Linked DNA regions of Drosophila melanogaster. The protein of the gene in region 1 interacts with the protein of each later gene in a pairwise test. Each region holds a gene or a part of one and is shown in the gene's direction. Other genes may lie near its edges.

Region 1 (4,459 bases):
TCTTTGGATACTTAAAGTAGCCATAACATTGATAAGCCAAACTGAGACCTTCTCAAAAGCACGTTTTCGGATAAAATGGGTATTCAACCCAGTGTTTTCCTTCAGACTTGAAATTCAAATGGATGGGACGATGGAAGATTCGGGAAACTTGTGCTTACGTAAGTATACACTTCGCGTATGTATGTATTGCCATAGCATCTCGATAAGTTTACTGTAGAAATTTGTAGAACTGCAAAGTTTCACTGGAAGTACACGATAAGCCGAAACTATAACCTACCACAATATCCTTATCAGTGAATGCAATACATGTTCCTTTGACAAAAAAAACACGTCATATTTGTACGATTCAAAGGCACCTATTCTTGGTAGTAACTAACTAAAAATCCACCACATTCAACTTGAGATTCCCCATAACTCTTGATGTAAAATAAAAACACAATATGAAGTATAACCTTCTTTTTAAGCCGTAATTTATTCTGATGCAATTGGTGAGTGGCACCCGTTCATCTAAATGAAAACGTGATTGCCACGTTGGGCTCAATCGGTCACATTTTCCCATTTACATACATACATCTATCTACAAATGTACTTTTTACCCACTCCAGAGATCAGAAATTGATGATTGGATGGGCAGCGGAACCCCCATGTAGTAATAAATACAGAACTTTGAAATTTTGTACCCTCCACTGACGCAATTGACTTGGGATACTTTGATTGCAATCTTGGTGCTCAAGTGATGGTGCGTCATTAACCCTTTTCCACTTCATGTTACTATTTTTGTTTACTCAGATACTTTAGAACCTTCAATGCCGGTATCTTTGAACTAAATCTAGATGATTGTTCTATCTGATTTCACAATAATATTAAATATTAAATATTATAATCAGTTTTAGTATACAAATTCGAAAGGTATTCAAAAGTCTTGTATTCTTTTCGAAATAATGCAATGTAGGATAAATACAGTAGTTAGAGGGTTAACGAAGCAAAAACTTTCCATTCATGGGAATTCGTTGAATGATCTTCAATTGGCAATCGGCTAAGTCAGTTACGAGCTTTTCCGACAGCGCCGATCGCTCGTCAATCGGCGATAATTGGTTCAAGGTCGTTTTTGGAGGTGTGGGGGTAGGGGGGCGTAAAGAAGTGACACGTCCGCTAATAGAAATGCCATGAAAAACAAAAGAAACTCTAAGTGCAATTCCACATATAGCAGCACTAATTTTAGATTCGCTGAGGCGCTGGCAAATTTTTTAATGACCATTGAGCAGCCGAAAGCAGAAATTGCTTGGCGACGTGACAAATGCAGTGGCGAAAATAATCTCGCCCATTTCCCTGACATCTTCCTCACGACAGGGCACGTCTTGATGTCTTGAAATCGTTGAAAATACAGTGGGATATGGGGCTAAAGGGGGTTCACCCAGCAGTAGTTTCACTTAGATACATATCACAGGCATTAAATGATCGGTTTGATACACATCCATTATATTTTCTACATACGAATACATCCCAATAAAAATAAAAACGTACTTTGACAAGAAAGTACATCTAGAATTTAATTTTTTTGTATTTTTTTAAATTCAAAAATACGTTGAGATCAGCGTTCAAAATGCGCGCCAAGCGGCCGGCGCTGCCAGCTTGTCGGAAGCTACCGATAACAGCGCCGATTACAGTGCCGATAGGCGGCGGTCATCGGGAAATACCAAATGCGAGAAACGCACTAAAAAATCGCTGACGCGGCGGGCCAGACCGCATGCAGCTCCACTTCCAGTGTCCACCATCTTGGCCGAAGTTGCCACAAAAGTAGAATCGTGACGGACGGCAAATAATTGCAAAACGCATAGTGTTGACTATTGTGGAAAAAACCCAGAGCGAAAGGCCGCCAAAAAGAAGTTGGCAATAAAGCAGGCGGGGATTGAGTACCGAATCCAGCTGGGCCATAAGGTGCTCGAATTTGATTTCAATATTAATTCCAGCCGTGCGAAAGAGACAGCGCGTCAGCCGAGTGCGAGAGGGAGAAGCAAAAGCAAAGGCAAAGGCAGAGGCAAAGCAGGGTTGTCGCCGGGAAAAAATCATATTGTTAAAGTAGGAAAATCAAAGGCTACTGTGAAATCTTCAGATCTTCAGATTTTGCCAAAACAGGTCGTAAGTGATCAAAACTTATTCAAAGCCAACTCGATATGAATGCCAAGCGCGTGAAGTATTCCATGGTGAAGGAGGAGATCGTGCCCGTGCTTATCGAGCAAGATACCGAGGTTGATCCCGAGGAGGAGCCCGAGGAGGATGAGGAGCACGTTCAAGAAGATGACGGCCAGGAGACGCAATATACGTATGCCTATACCACCGGCGACGACGATGACACCGAAACTGCGGTGGTGACCCTCAGCGATCGTGACCACGAGGCGCTGGTCAATGCCGAGGAGGTGATTATCGATGAGAACGGTCACGCGGTGACCCTGCAGGAGCTGGTCGAGAACAGCACCGTCGAGGAGGAGACCATCGAACAGGGCGATGGTACACACACCATCCTTCATATTGTGCCCAATATTCATGGCGAGGAGGTCGAGGAGGATGAAGAGCTCGAGGATGGCGAGGAGGTAGAGCATGACGATGAGTTTGTCACCGTCGACCACGAGGGCGGCGAATTGGAGGTTGAAGATGACGAGGTGGGCTCTATTGTGTTCGAGAGTACCATCGACCATGCCGAACAAGATCCGTATGGTCGCAACAAGACCTTCTACTGTCCCAATTGCGGCAATTGCTACAGCGCCGCCGGCTCCCTGAAGCTTCATATGCGCGCCTGCCTGCGGCAGAGGAACGAGATCTCCACCGATGAACGCAAGTGCAAAGTGTGCAGCAAGGTCTTCAACTCGGTTGCCTACCTCAAGGAGCATATGATGCGGCACACGGGCGAGCAGCCCTTCCGCTGCACCCGCTGCTATCGCAAGTTCGTCGAGGAGAGCAAATTTACCGCCCACATGGAGTCGCACAAGCACCAGGACAAGCTCGAGGCCGAAGCGGTGGCCCTGGCCGCCCAGCACGGCGGCAAGAAGGTGGTCGTCAAGGAGTTCCAGTGCGCCTTCTGCTCGCAGAACTTCACCGTCGTCTTCGATGTTGGCCAGGTGAAGAGACGCTATGCCTGCGACGCCTGCCGCGATAAGTACTCTAATGCGGAGGCACTGCGGCAGCACAAGCAGCAGGTGGAGGAGAAGCGCGAGTTCAGCTGCGTACGTTGCGGCCGCAAGTTCGTTTTCGAGGGCTTCCTACAGCGCCATCTGCCCACCTGCGATGGCAGCATCAAGCGTCGAAGGGACATGAAGTAGAGGCGGCCACAACGTGATGAGCACTGGCGGCGTCGGCAGCAGCTGGAGCCGGAGCGTGATGAGCAGAAATCGCCGCCGCCAGTGCGTTACGTTGTTATCAAGCAGGAGTACGTAGATTAGGAGCAGTAGGATTAGCTGGAGCACGAGCTAGTTTCTAATGATTCGCCCATGCAAAACTCGGACACTAGCCGCCCGGGCCAGGAGAAAGGAGCAGCTGCTGTTTATCTACACGCAAACATAAGTCCACACCCATATTGTATTTTTTGGGAGCCACAACGGGGGCCACTGTCGTCAAGCGATTCCAAAGGAAAGGGTTTATCTTTTACCTAGTTGTACACAAATCCACACACACAGTTGTTTTTTTTTTTATATGATTTCAGGCCAACTCTGCGGTTTACAATTGAAGATAAAAGCATGTCGACGGATGTCGATCATGGCCCATGTATAGATATATATTACTTACTTATAATTACGACTACTTAATGTTAGAGCTCACGATCACCCGCTATTGTGTAATAACCCGAAACTCCAAATACTGACACACAAAACGAGCGTCAAATCGATGTTGAATTCAATAAAAAATAAAAATAAAATAAATCAAGAATGTTTTTCAATGGCTCAAGATTTCTTCATTGCTATTTTAATAATCCCTATTGAATCATAAGCATTTCGTAGTGTTTTATGTTGTGAATTTATTATTTTTACTAAGCAGCAGATTTTCAATTAGATTTTAATTTGGTGACACAGCCAACTGGGATTCCCCGCTGTTGGTGCCACCAAATCCATCTAATTTGGCCATTTTTGAGCACTGCCCGTGGGCTATATTGCAGCTGGACGGCAACGCCCCCGGTTTGGTAAAAATCTCTGGCTACCTCGGGTGGTCCAGCACAGGATTTGGATTAAACACACACAAAGAGAATCGGTATTTCAGCCAATCTGATCTGACATTATAATTGGTCGATACTTTCTTTTTTTGGCGCTTAGGCGGATGATCTACAAACAAAAAGGTGCGTGCTTAGGCATTAACTAATCCATTAACTAGGCCGATTTAGGACCAGAGCTTCAAGTGGGCACGCTTGGCGTACGACTTCCAGTCGGAGTGGGCGTAGAACTCCTTGAAAATGGGCGTGACCAGGGTATCC
Region 2 (4,023 bases), 3.9 Mb from region 1:
TTAATTAAGCGTAAAATCGTCGCACACGAAATGCCGAAAATTCAAATTGAATTTGAGAGGTTTTCGTGTGGTTCTTTATCCATTTGTGTTTCGTTGTGTCCCAAAAAAACCGCAGAAAATGCGAGGATTATGGTAATTTTGTGTGGAAATTGCCGGTGAAGACTAGCCGGGATACGCCTTGTTAGGCAGGATGCTCGTTAAATCATATTAATCAACATGCCGGAATCCTTTCTTAGCGCTGGAAACTCTCTCAAAAACCCATTTAATCCTTTTGTGCGGCTGTGTAAACAGCAATAACTCAGCGCCACAAAGAGAATCGAAGGACTCGGGGACATAACGAGGGCAAATCGAAGGGAAAAGAGGTAAAAAGTAAGCAAAAGCAGGAGCGCATTTCGCAAAGTAAACGTTGAAAAAGAGTTGAAAAGTTGAGAAATTCGCCATTTCAGTGGATGGAACGGGGTAATCGATTAACTACCCCAGCACCCTTTTTGTGTCCCTATCCAGGATGAAAGCCGATCGGAAGATAGTCACATGAAAACATATGAAACAAAACGACTTTCACCACAAAAAAGCCGAAAAGGATAACGTGCGAAATATACGATCCCCGTTAGCGAAAATCTTTCAGCAATCGATCGCAAATAAAGATATCTCCAGGGGACCAGAACCCATTCAAAGATGCCTTTACATGCTGAACTAGATCAGAACGTCAGATAGCAAGCCACGTCGGTCACGGACACTTTGAGTGATCCAAGTCCAGGAGATGACGAGCGCCGATCACTTGAACGTCACTTAGGATCGCTGGTCGATGATCACTTGAAGATCACTCAGGGATCTCGATGATCACTTCATCTACAGCTGGTCAAGAGCCACATATGGGGGCAGTTATCTTTGATCTTGTCATCGGAAATATAATCTACTTATTGGTTCCATATTTCATATTCATATGGAGGACAGCGGCTGTGCTTTAAAATATAGATCACTACAAAGGTTATGGGAACCATTTCCTTTTACATTTACATTTCAAAGTTAAATCCATACAAGTTGTGAATTTGCATTGCATGAGGCCCATCTATTTGTAGAAAGAACACTTATTAAAAAGTTGATAATTTGATAATGCATACTGTGTACAAACTTTTCCCCTGTTGGGTGAGCAACTGACGCTTTGCACAGGACTTTTCCCAGAGTTTGTAACGTTTTTCTAATGCTTCCTTCCGGAAGTGGCAAACATTTTCAATTAAAGCCGCCGAGTATATAAATTGCATTTGCGGCCGCTAAAGAGCCGCAATTAATACTGATACCGCGCTACGACAAGTGGCTAAAATGACGAGGAGCTGTCGGCCAGGAAGTTGGACTTGGCATCGGCTAATTAGCCGGCCAACCTGACTTCCCTTCTCCCTTTTCCGTTCACTATTTTCCAGCCTGTTGCTGCTCTAAATGTCCATTCAAATGAGGGGGAGACAAGGGCGAAAGGAAGCAGACTTCCTTGAGGGGAATGAAAGCAAATTTAATAACCAAGCGCTGGCCGATAGACATCTAGATGTCATTTTCGTGTGGTGGTGCTGTGGATGAGTGCCTGGATTGGAGTGGGTGATTCTCGGCCGGTACTGCGAACTGTGGGAAAGGACGAATACCTCCAATACCTCCATCAAAATATCAGATCTCGTTGGCATAGAGATCATACTTTCATATTCTAAGCTAAGCTGCTGATATCCTCGAGCTTGTTGCTCAAGTTCCTCGAGATCCAAAGACAATTTGCTACCACACACATCCGTTGGCCAAAGAGAGTCTTTTCATCCAAGGAGAGAACGCCGGAGAGAGCGAGTGTCCTTCTGCCCGCCGGGGTGCCTCTTGCGCAACAACCCCTAGCCCCGTAACCCCTAGCCATTAACCCCTGAGCGCCGAGCGGGTATAAAACGCAGCCCGCTCCCCGTACCGCTTCAGTTTGTCAGCGAGAGCGGTCGAGAGCAGAAGACTAGCAGAGTCTAGAAGTACATCTTTTTTTTTTGTGCACCAGGAGCAGCAGAAACAGAACCACACACAACATGCTGAAGTGGACGGCATCGGCGCAGCGCCTGAACGAGATTCCCGTGCACGATCAGGATGCCAACCAGCCGCAGAGGAGGAGGCTGCAGAGGAGGCAGCGCCGTCAGCGGAGGGCCACCATTGCCAACAAGGAGAACGTGCCTGACACCGTGGGCTACACCTCCACGCCAGTGCCCATTACCCGGCTGCGCAACAGTCCCCTGGTCCTGGCGCCGCTGAGCGATATCCGGAATGTCACCCCGGAGGCGGTGGTGCGCAGTCAGGCGCCCCAAAGGGTACAGAGTGTGCGATACGCCACCACATTGCCACGTTTTGCCGAGGACTACTCGCCCAACGGACTGCCCAGTGGTCAGCACTTGGCGCTGAGGGGCCTGGCTCCGTTGGATCCCTTTCTGGGCCAGCCGCGCTATATTGTAGGCTCGGGTGCAGGAGTTAACAAACTCAAGCAGCGTAGACTGGACGAGGACTTTGTGGCCACCTTGGAGCCGGAGTTGCAGGAGACGGCAGTGCCAGAGCCACCCACCCCCAAGGTGGAAGTGCGTCCAAGCACACCGCAGCCCGCCTCCACGCAGATGGGTGATCAGACCTTGGATCGCCTAATCGATGCCATCTTGGATTCCGCCTGCAAGGCGAACGCCAGCAGCAAGAAGAAGCCGAGAAGGTCCACCTTCAATCTGCGCAGACGCACCTTGGTCAAGCAGCAAATGGAGTCGAACTGCCCCCAGGAGGTGCTGTCGCCATCCTACGCACCTGGAGACGATCCGGCCTCGGATCTGAGCTTTGGCCTGGTTCCCCTGCCCATGCACAACCTGATGCCCACTCCGGAACCGGCATCGCCCCTGGCCAAGATTCCTCACAACTTGCTTGTCCAACTGGCCACTCCAGTGGCCCCCAAGTCTGCCCCCTGCGACAACACCTTCTGCCTGGAGACTCCAGTCAAGGCCCTGAAGAGGACCCGCAAGGAGATCGTCGCCAAGGAGTCCCCCATTAAGCGCTACAAGGTCGACGAGCGCAATTACTTCGAGGTGGGATTGGCCCTGCCCTCGTCTATATATGTCTGAGCAGAGGTAATTTCAAACAGATCCTCGGAAAGCCACAAAAATGAGAAGAGAAACTAAATGCGAGATGGAGATGAAGATGGAGACGAGAAAGCGAGCAACGCTGACAAACGGGGGGAAAACGCTTAACTATGACGCTTAACTAGTTCCTAAGTCGTAAACTAATCATCTTTCAATTACTGTACATAATTTCTTAGGCCACCTTAATCACTATTTATTCCAATTACTAATATAACCATTTTTTTTTTTGCTGCTGTTATGTAGTTTTCGAATATACCTTTTTTTTCATTATTTAATTTTAAACAAATATGAATATTTATTGCTACTTTAAGTTACCCAAATAATTATTTTTTCAAAATAAAAGCATTAAATCAAAAACAATGGAGTACACTTTTCTTTTCTTTTGAAACGGGGAAAACTTTATATATCAGCTTATCATCATTAATGTCGCTTTTTTGAGTAACTTTGGCTACTTCCATGCGTACTGCCCAATATAGGGATATGGGATTGTATTGATTTCAAAATGGTGATATTTGAAAAAGACTAGACTATCTTCATAGTCTAGAAATGTTTTCTCATGTATCCATTGGAATCTACTCTTTAAATGTTAGGTTTATAGTTGGTTTCTGAACTATTTTCGAGATACGAACAAATATCATTTTTGTTGTGCCATAGCATCGCATCGAGTTTTCTGATGAATGCGAAACATCTGCGGTGACCTTCGTCACCTACGCAATATCCCAGCTCGTGCCGATTGCATTTTGACCTGCCGATACGTACAACATATATTTACACAGTTGCTTGACCAAGCGATTTGCTTTGCTTTTCCAGGCGACCAAAACAAACAACGGCGATGCAGGTTGGGAACTGGGAATAATTGAATGCCTGACAGGTACAATGGCACGCCCCGGGATCTACAATC
Region 3 (4,932 bases), on another chromosome or scaffold:
AAAGATATTGATATTGCAGTGAGGTCTGAGCGACTGATGACTGCGATACAAAAGGCGAGAGCTTTTATAGGCGAACAGCCAGCTTGAAAAACAAAATGACAGATAAGGCATGCACGGGGATTTTTGCAGAGAAAAGTACACTGAAGGTAACCGATCTGATTCCAAGCACACATCTGCACATCTAGGGAACAATCGGGGATTTCAATGCTATAATCCAAATATGTAAATTACAAATTGTAATATCCTTTAAACGGTTCTGGGCCAATTTGAATTAGAGCTTTAATAACTCTATCCTTTTGGCATTTTGAATTGATCTCTTTCTATCTTTCTAAGACAGTCAAATTCAAATTTACTCTATCACTCAAGGGCAATTTATTTACATAAACGCATCCAATTTGTGGTATTTTTCGAGGGGAATCACTACAATATTTTACTAAAGGCACTAAATTAAGTTTGAAAAATTCAATAGGCATTAAATGACAATAAAAAATAATTGTTTACTGAGCACGTACGAATCTGAAAACTTATTTAACATTTTATTGTAAGCGAAAGCGGTATGTATGTACATACATCTCGGTCTATATTAACTAACTTAACTAAAAGTCTTGCGTTAGTAACTTAGTTGTTTTTCAGATTTTAAAATTTGTGTTTATTTTCGTTAAACGATACATTAATTAAATTGCAGTGCAGAATTACTTCGGATTGATCAATTTTTCAAAGGGCTTAGCAAAGCCAATTCCCACTTGAGCAGCATTGTGTATTGCGTTTTCCTGTAGAAATACAAATGTTTAAGCTTCATTGTAAACTACAATTGTTTAAAGAAGAAACAAACCACTTTGTCAAGAATATCAATAAATACTGCATCCGAAGGACCCACGCTGATGGCCAAAATGAGGGCCAGGACGACAAGGACCACAAAGTATTTCATAACTAGATCGCTGGGTTTTCCGAATTTTACACTGATGATTTAGACTGAAAAACAAGTGGCTTTATAGGCAATCAACCCACCGAAAAACGTTTACAATAATAATTAGACCTTAAACATATTAATTACAATATGTAAAAAAAAAGAACTCGTGTTTTTGCATTGAAAGAGACTTAAAAAGGTTTTTTATTCAAGAGCATATTTCTTGGAATTACTAAAAACCTCAACAAGTTACTAAGTTTTCATTCAATAGTGTTCTATAGTAATTAAGTTCTACAATTCTGTAGGTTAAAACTCATACGGCAAATGGCACTGGAATTTACATATATTATATTATCAATATTATCAACTTAAAAATGTCCGTTGAAAAGATTAAATATGTCTGCGTAAATATTATCTACACATATATTTAAGGCAATAACTAATATTTTTTATTATGTTGTTAATAATCTCATTAAATTCCTAATTTATGGAAATCCATTCCAAAATCCAAAATCTGTGTAATTACTTTTTTTTAAAAAACGTTACATGTGGTAACAATTGCGCCCCCTGTGGGGCTTTAATCGCAACATAAGTGGTGATACTCGCCGCTGAAGCATGGTAGATAACCCTAAACGAACCTATCGATATATATTTTCAAAGAAACATTTTATATTGTTCATACAACAATTTTTTTAATTTTATAGGCTAACAACTTAACTTATTAAAAAAAAATTTTATAATAAAGTTTTTCCAAACATAAACCCATAGTGGCATACAAACTTATCGATGCTAACTCATAAATTCGTTATACACAATCTTTGCTGAGAACTATCGATTTTTACACGCAAAACATTAAAACGCTGAAACACTTCAAAGAAATATAATCAAATTTTCTTGAATGGATGTTATGTTATAATGTTAAATTTTATATATTTAGCCATCCCTCGTATTTTCGACGAGTAATTGCTCCTGCAACTGTATCGATAGTATCGCACAACGTTCGCGCGTGTCTCATCGATAACAACTCGCTCTGTTTTCCACCTCTACGTCGTGGCTCGACTTCCTTTCCTGTCAAAATAGTCGACAAAGGTGGTACTTTTTTTCTTCCGTCGCCGAAAATGGCCAAAATACGCGGTCGCCACAACGCAGTGCAGCGAAATAATAAGAGAAAAGGCCGCAATGATAATGGCAAATTACGATTTTCTTGTGAATCCAGAGAAATGCTGGCGAAATAACGCCGATTGCCGGCGATTTGTGATTGTACTGCGTTGTGGGGAAGCGTCTGCCGCAGCGAATTTTGTGTTTGTAATTGAACCGAAAGCTAAAATACCGGTGATGAACATTGCAGATGGCTATCGGCTCCAAGATTATCAAGCCCGGCGGCTCGGATCCCGATGACTTCGAGAAGTCCATTGCCCAGGCGTTGGTGGAACTCGAGGCCAACAGCGACCTGAAGCCCTACCTGCGCGATCTGCACATCACCCGTGCCCGCGAGATCGAGTTCGGCAGCAAGAAGGTAAACAGTATATGGCGTACATGTGGAGCCTTCAATAGTAATCCGTAACCCACTCTGCACGCAGGCCGTCATCATCTACGTGCCCATTCCACAGCAGAAGGTGTTCCAGAAGATCCAGATCATCCTGGTCCGCGAGCTGGAGAAGAAGTTCTCGGGCAAGCACGTCGTCGTGATTGCGGAGCGCAAGATCCTGCCCAAGCCCACGCGCAAGGCCCGCAACCCCCTCAAGCAGAAGCGTCCACGCTCCAGGACTCTGACCGCTGTGTACGACGCCATCCTTGAGGATCTGGTCTTCCCCGCCGAGATTGTGGGCAAGCGCATCCGCGTCAAGCTGGACGGCTCCCAGCTGGTCAAGGTGCACCTGGACAAGAACCAGCAGACCACCATTGAACACAAAGTAAGCATAAGCATCCTCCACCTCAAAGAAGAGTGCATCGTGTGTGTTAGCAGGCGCGTACCCTCGATATTTGGGCCTTCCGTGCCATGGAGCTCAATCTTCGCCAGGGGACGCAGAACAGTCAGGGCCAATTACTCGTTATTGCAGGCATTAGAAGCCATTGCGGTCCTGCATCTCCAAATATTGGCCACAGTTGGTCTTTTGATACATCGTTCTTGTGTTTTTCGCTGGCTGTCCTTCCAAAGCCAGTGATTGTCAAACAGAACGTACATTAATGGCAGCTTATCACTCCACAATGTTGAGCCGAGTTTTCACGGTTACTGCATTACTTTCCGGCTCGCCACATCATTACACACTCAAATCGATACTTGAAACCATTTAAACAGTAGAATGAAAAGTCAAATAAGGGGGATAACAGATGGATAGAAAGATTATATGTTTAAATGTACATAGAACTTTCTATCGTTTTTGTGTTATTTGCTGGAAGTTACATCCAAAGCCAGTGATTGTCAAACAGAACGTAAATTAATGCGGCTATCACTCCACAATGTTGAGCCGGCTTTCCAGGGCTACTGCATTACTTTTCGGCTCGCCACACTCTCGTAGAATCTTTTAAATACCTTGGTTTCTACCACCGTTCTTGTGTTATTCGCTAGATCTTTTCATGGCCTAGCGAGCGTCAAACAGAACGCAAACTGAAGCAACGAATCACTCCACAATGGTGGGTCTACTTTACCAGGACTGCATCATTACTAAAGGATTGCTACAGTTGAATATCCACGAGAATGCTAATTGTGAACTCCGTTCTTGTGTTATTCGCTAAGCGATTACCTAAGCTCAGCGATTGTCAAACAGAACGTAGATTAACTGCCGCTAATCACTCCACAATGTTGAGCCGACTCTCAACGGCTACTGCATTACTATATGCGCCACATTCATGTCAATCAACACTTAGCCCTTGAATACTTTGGTTTCCATCACCGTTCTTGTGTTATTTTCTGGACGTTGTTCAAGTCCAGCGATCGTCAAACAGAACGCAAAGTAATGCAACGAATCACTCCACAATGTTGGGTCTACTTTGCCAGGACAGCATCATTACTTAAGGATTGCAACAGCACCTTACATTTAGAGTTACTCATCTGAAAACACACACGATGCACTTTGAGTGCCGCCTATTTGCCTCTCGAGCGCCGTTTAGTTTCCTGGGGCCTCGGGACTTCCTATATAAGCGGAAGATTAATCCAGCCTACCGTACGATATCTTCGCTGCGGTATTTTCTGCCGCAGCGGAGGTTGCGGTGCTGTACACTGCAATAAATAAGTTAATTCCTCTGATCGTGTAAACTAATACGTTCTCTATTTATCTCTCCAGGTCGACACCTTCACCTCGGTCTACAAGAAGCTGACTGGTCGCGATGTTACCTTCGAATTCCCCGACAACTACCTGAATGTCTAGAGCGGCGGGTTCTCGTTCGAGAGTAGCACTGGTTCGCCGGTTCATCTGGGAATATGAGTTTTTTACATGAGCTAGAGAACGTGAATAAACATTAAACAATCTAAAACTAAGCAAACTTCCAATTAAGCCAACTCGCTCTCCGTTGTCCTGTAATTAATCAGCGTTAAGCGCAAAGTTTCCTGAGTCTCGCTACATTCGTTCGAACTTTAATCCTTTGAAGGAGCAGTATCCTGCTGGGAAGGGATGTCACATGTTGTGATTAAGGGCAGCCATAAAAGGGGTTATTACATGGCGGAAAGCGCCATTCATTTGATGCCTGCTCAACTGCTTAATTAAAAAGTTGACGTATGTTCTTCCAAGACTCGCACGTGTGGCGAAAGGGGTTAATCTTGTGGCTACATTTTCCACTTGGCGCCTCCCATTTGCATACCATGTAATTATGCCTTTTGAACAATCACGTGTGATTGTTGGTGGTAGCAACATGAAAGGGTGTGGGTTTCTTGGATTGATTCATTTTTGGAAAGAGAAAGCTTTTCGACATGGAACACCCCATTAAAAGCTTATTAACCGCCATATTTGAATGTACTGCATGTTCGTTCATTTGGCAAAGGCTGCTGAACGAAATCAATCTTCTAAAGAAACCCCTTGATTATACTT

What was found.
Region 2: the proteins of CG3847 (region 1) and CG12496 interact in a two-hybrid assay, tested with the Drosophila melanogaster proteins (one large-scale study listed by BioGRID).
Region 3: the proteins of CG3847 (region 1) and RpS7 interact in a two-hybrid assay, tested with the Drosophila melanogaster proteins (one large-scale study listed by BioGRID).

What each region holds. Positions count from the first base shown.
Region 1 is NC_004354.4:6,345,331-6,349,789, forward strand, and holds CG3847 (uncharacterized protein), read left to right. Parts: upstream 1-1,772; 5' UTR 1,773-2,174; coding exon 2,175-3,317; 3' UTR 3,318-3,906; downstream 3,907-4,459. Other genes in the region: ND-B16.6 (NADH dehydrogenase (ubiquinone) B16.6 subunit), read right to left, coding at 4,366-4,459.
Region 2 is NC_004354.4:2,408,816-2,412,838, reverse strand, and holds CG12496 (uncharacterized protein), read left to right. Parts: upstream 1-1,937; 5' UTR 1,938-2,042; coding exon 2,043-3,104; 3' UTR 3,105-3,474; downstream 3,475-4,023.
Region 3 is NT_033777.3:30,205,981-30,210,912, reverse strand, and holds RpS7 (ribosomal protein S7), read left to right. Parts: upstream 1-1,892; 5' UTR 1,893-1,996; exon of another isoform or gene 1,997-2,255; coding exon 2,256-2,423; intron 2,424-2,487; coding exon 2,488-2,820; intron 2,821-2,873; exon of another isoform or gene 2,874-3,015; intron 3,016-3,029; exon of another isoform or gene 3,030-3,168; intron 3,169-3,282; exon of another isoform or gene 3,283-3,420; intron 3,421-3,454; exon of another isoform or gene 3,455-3,591; intron 3,592-3,621; exon of another isoform or gene 3,622-3,757; intron 3,758-3,800; exon of another isoform or gene 3,801-3,937; intron 3,938-3,986; exon of another isoform or gene 3,987-4,130; intron 4,131-4,191; coding exon 4,192-4,275; 3' UTR 4,276-4,383; downstream 4,384-4,932. Other genes in the region: Anp (andropin), read right to left, coding at 693-770, 833-928.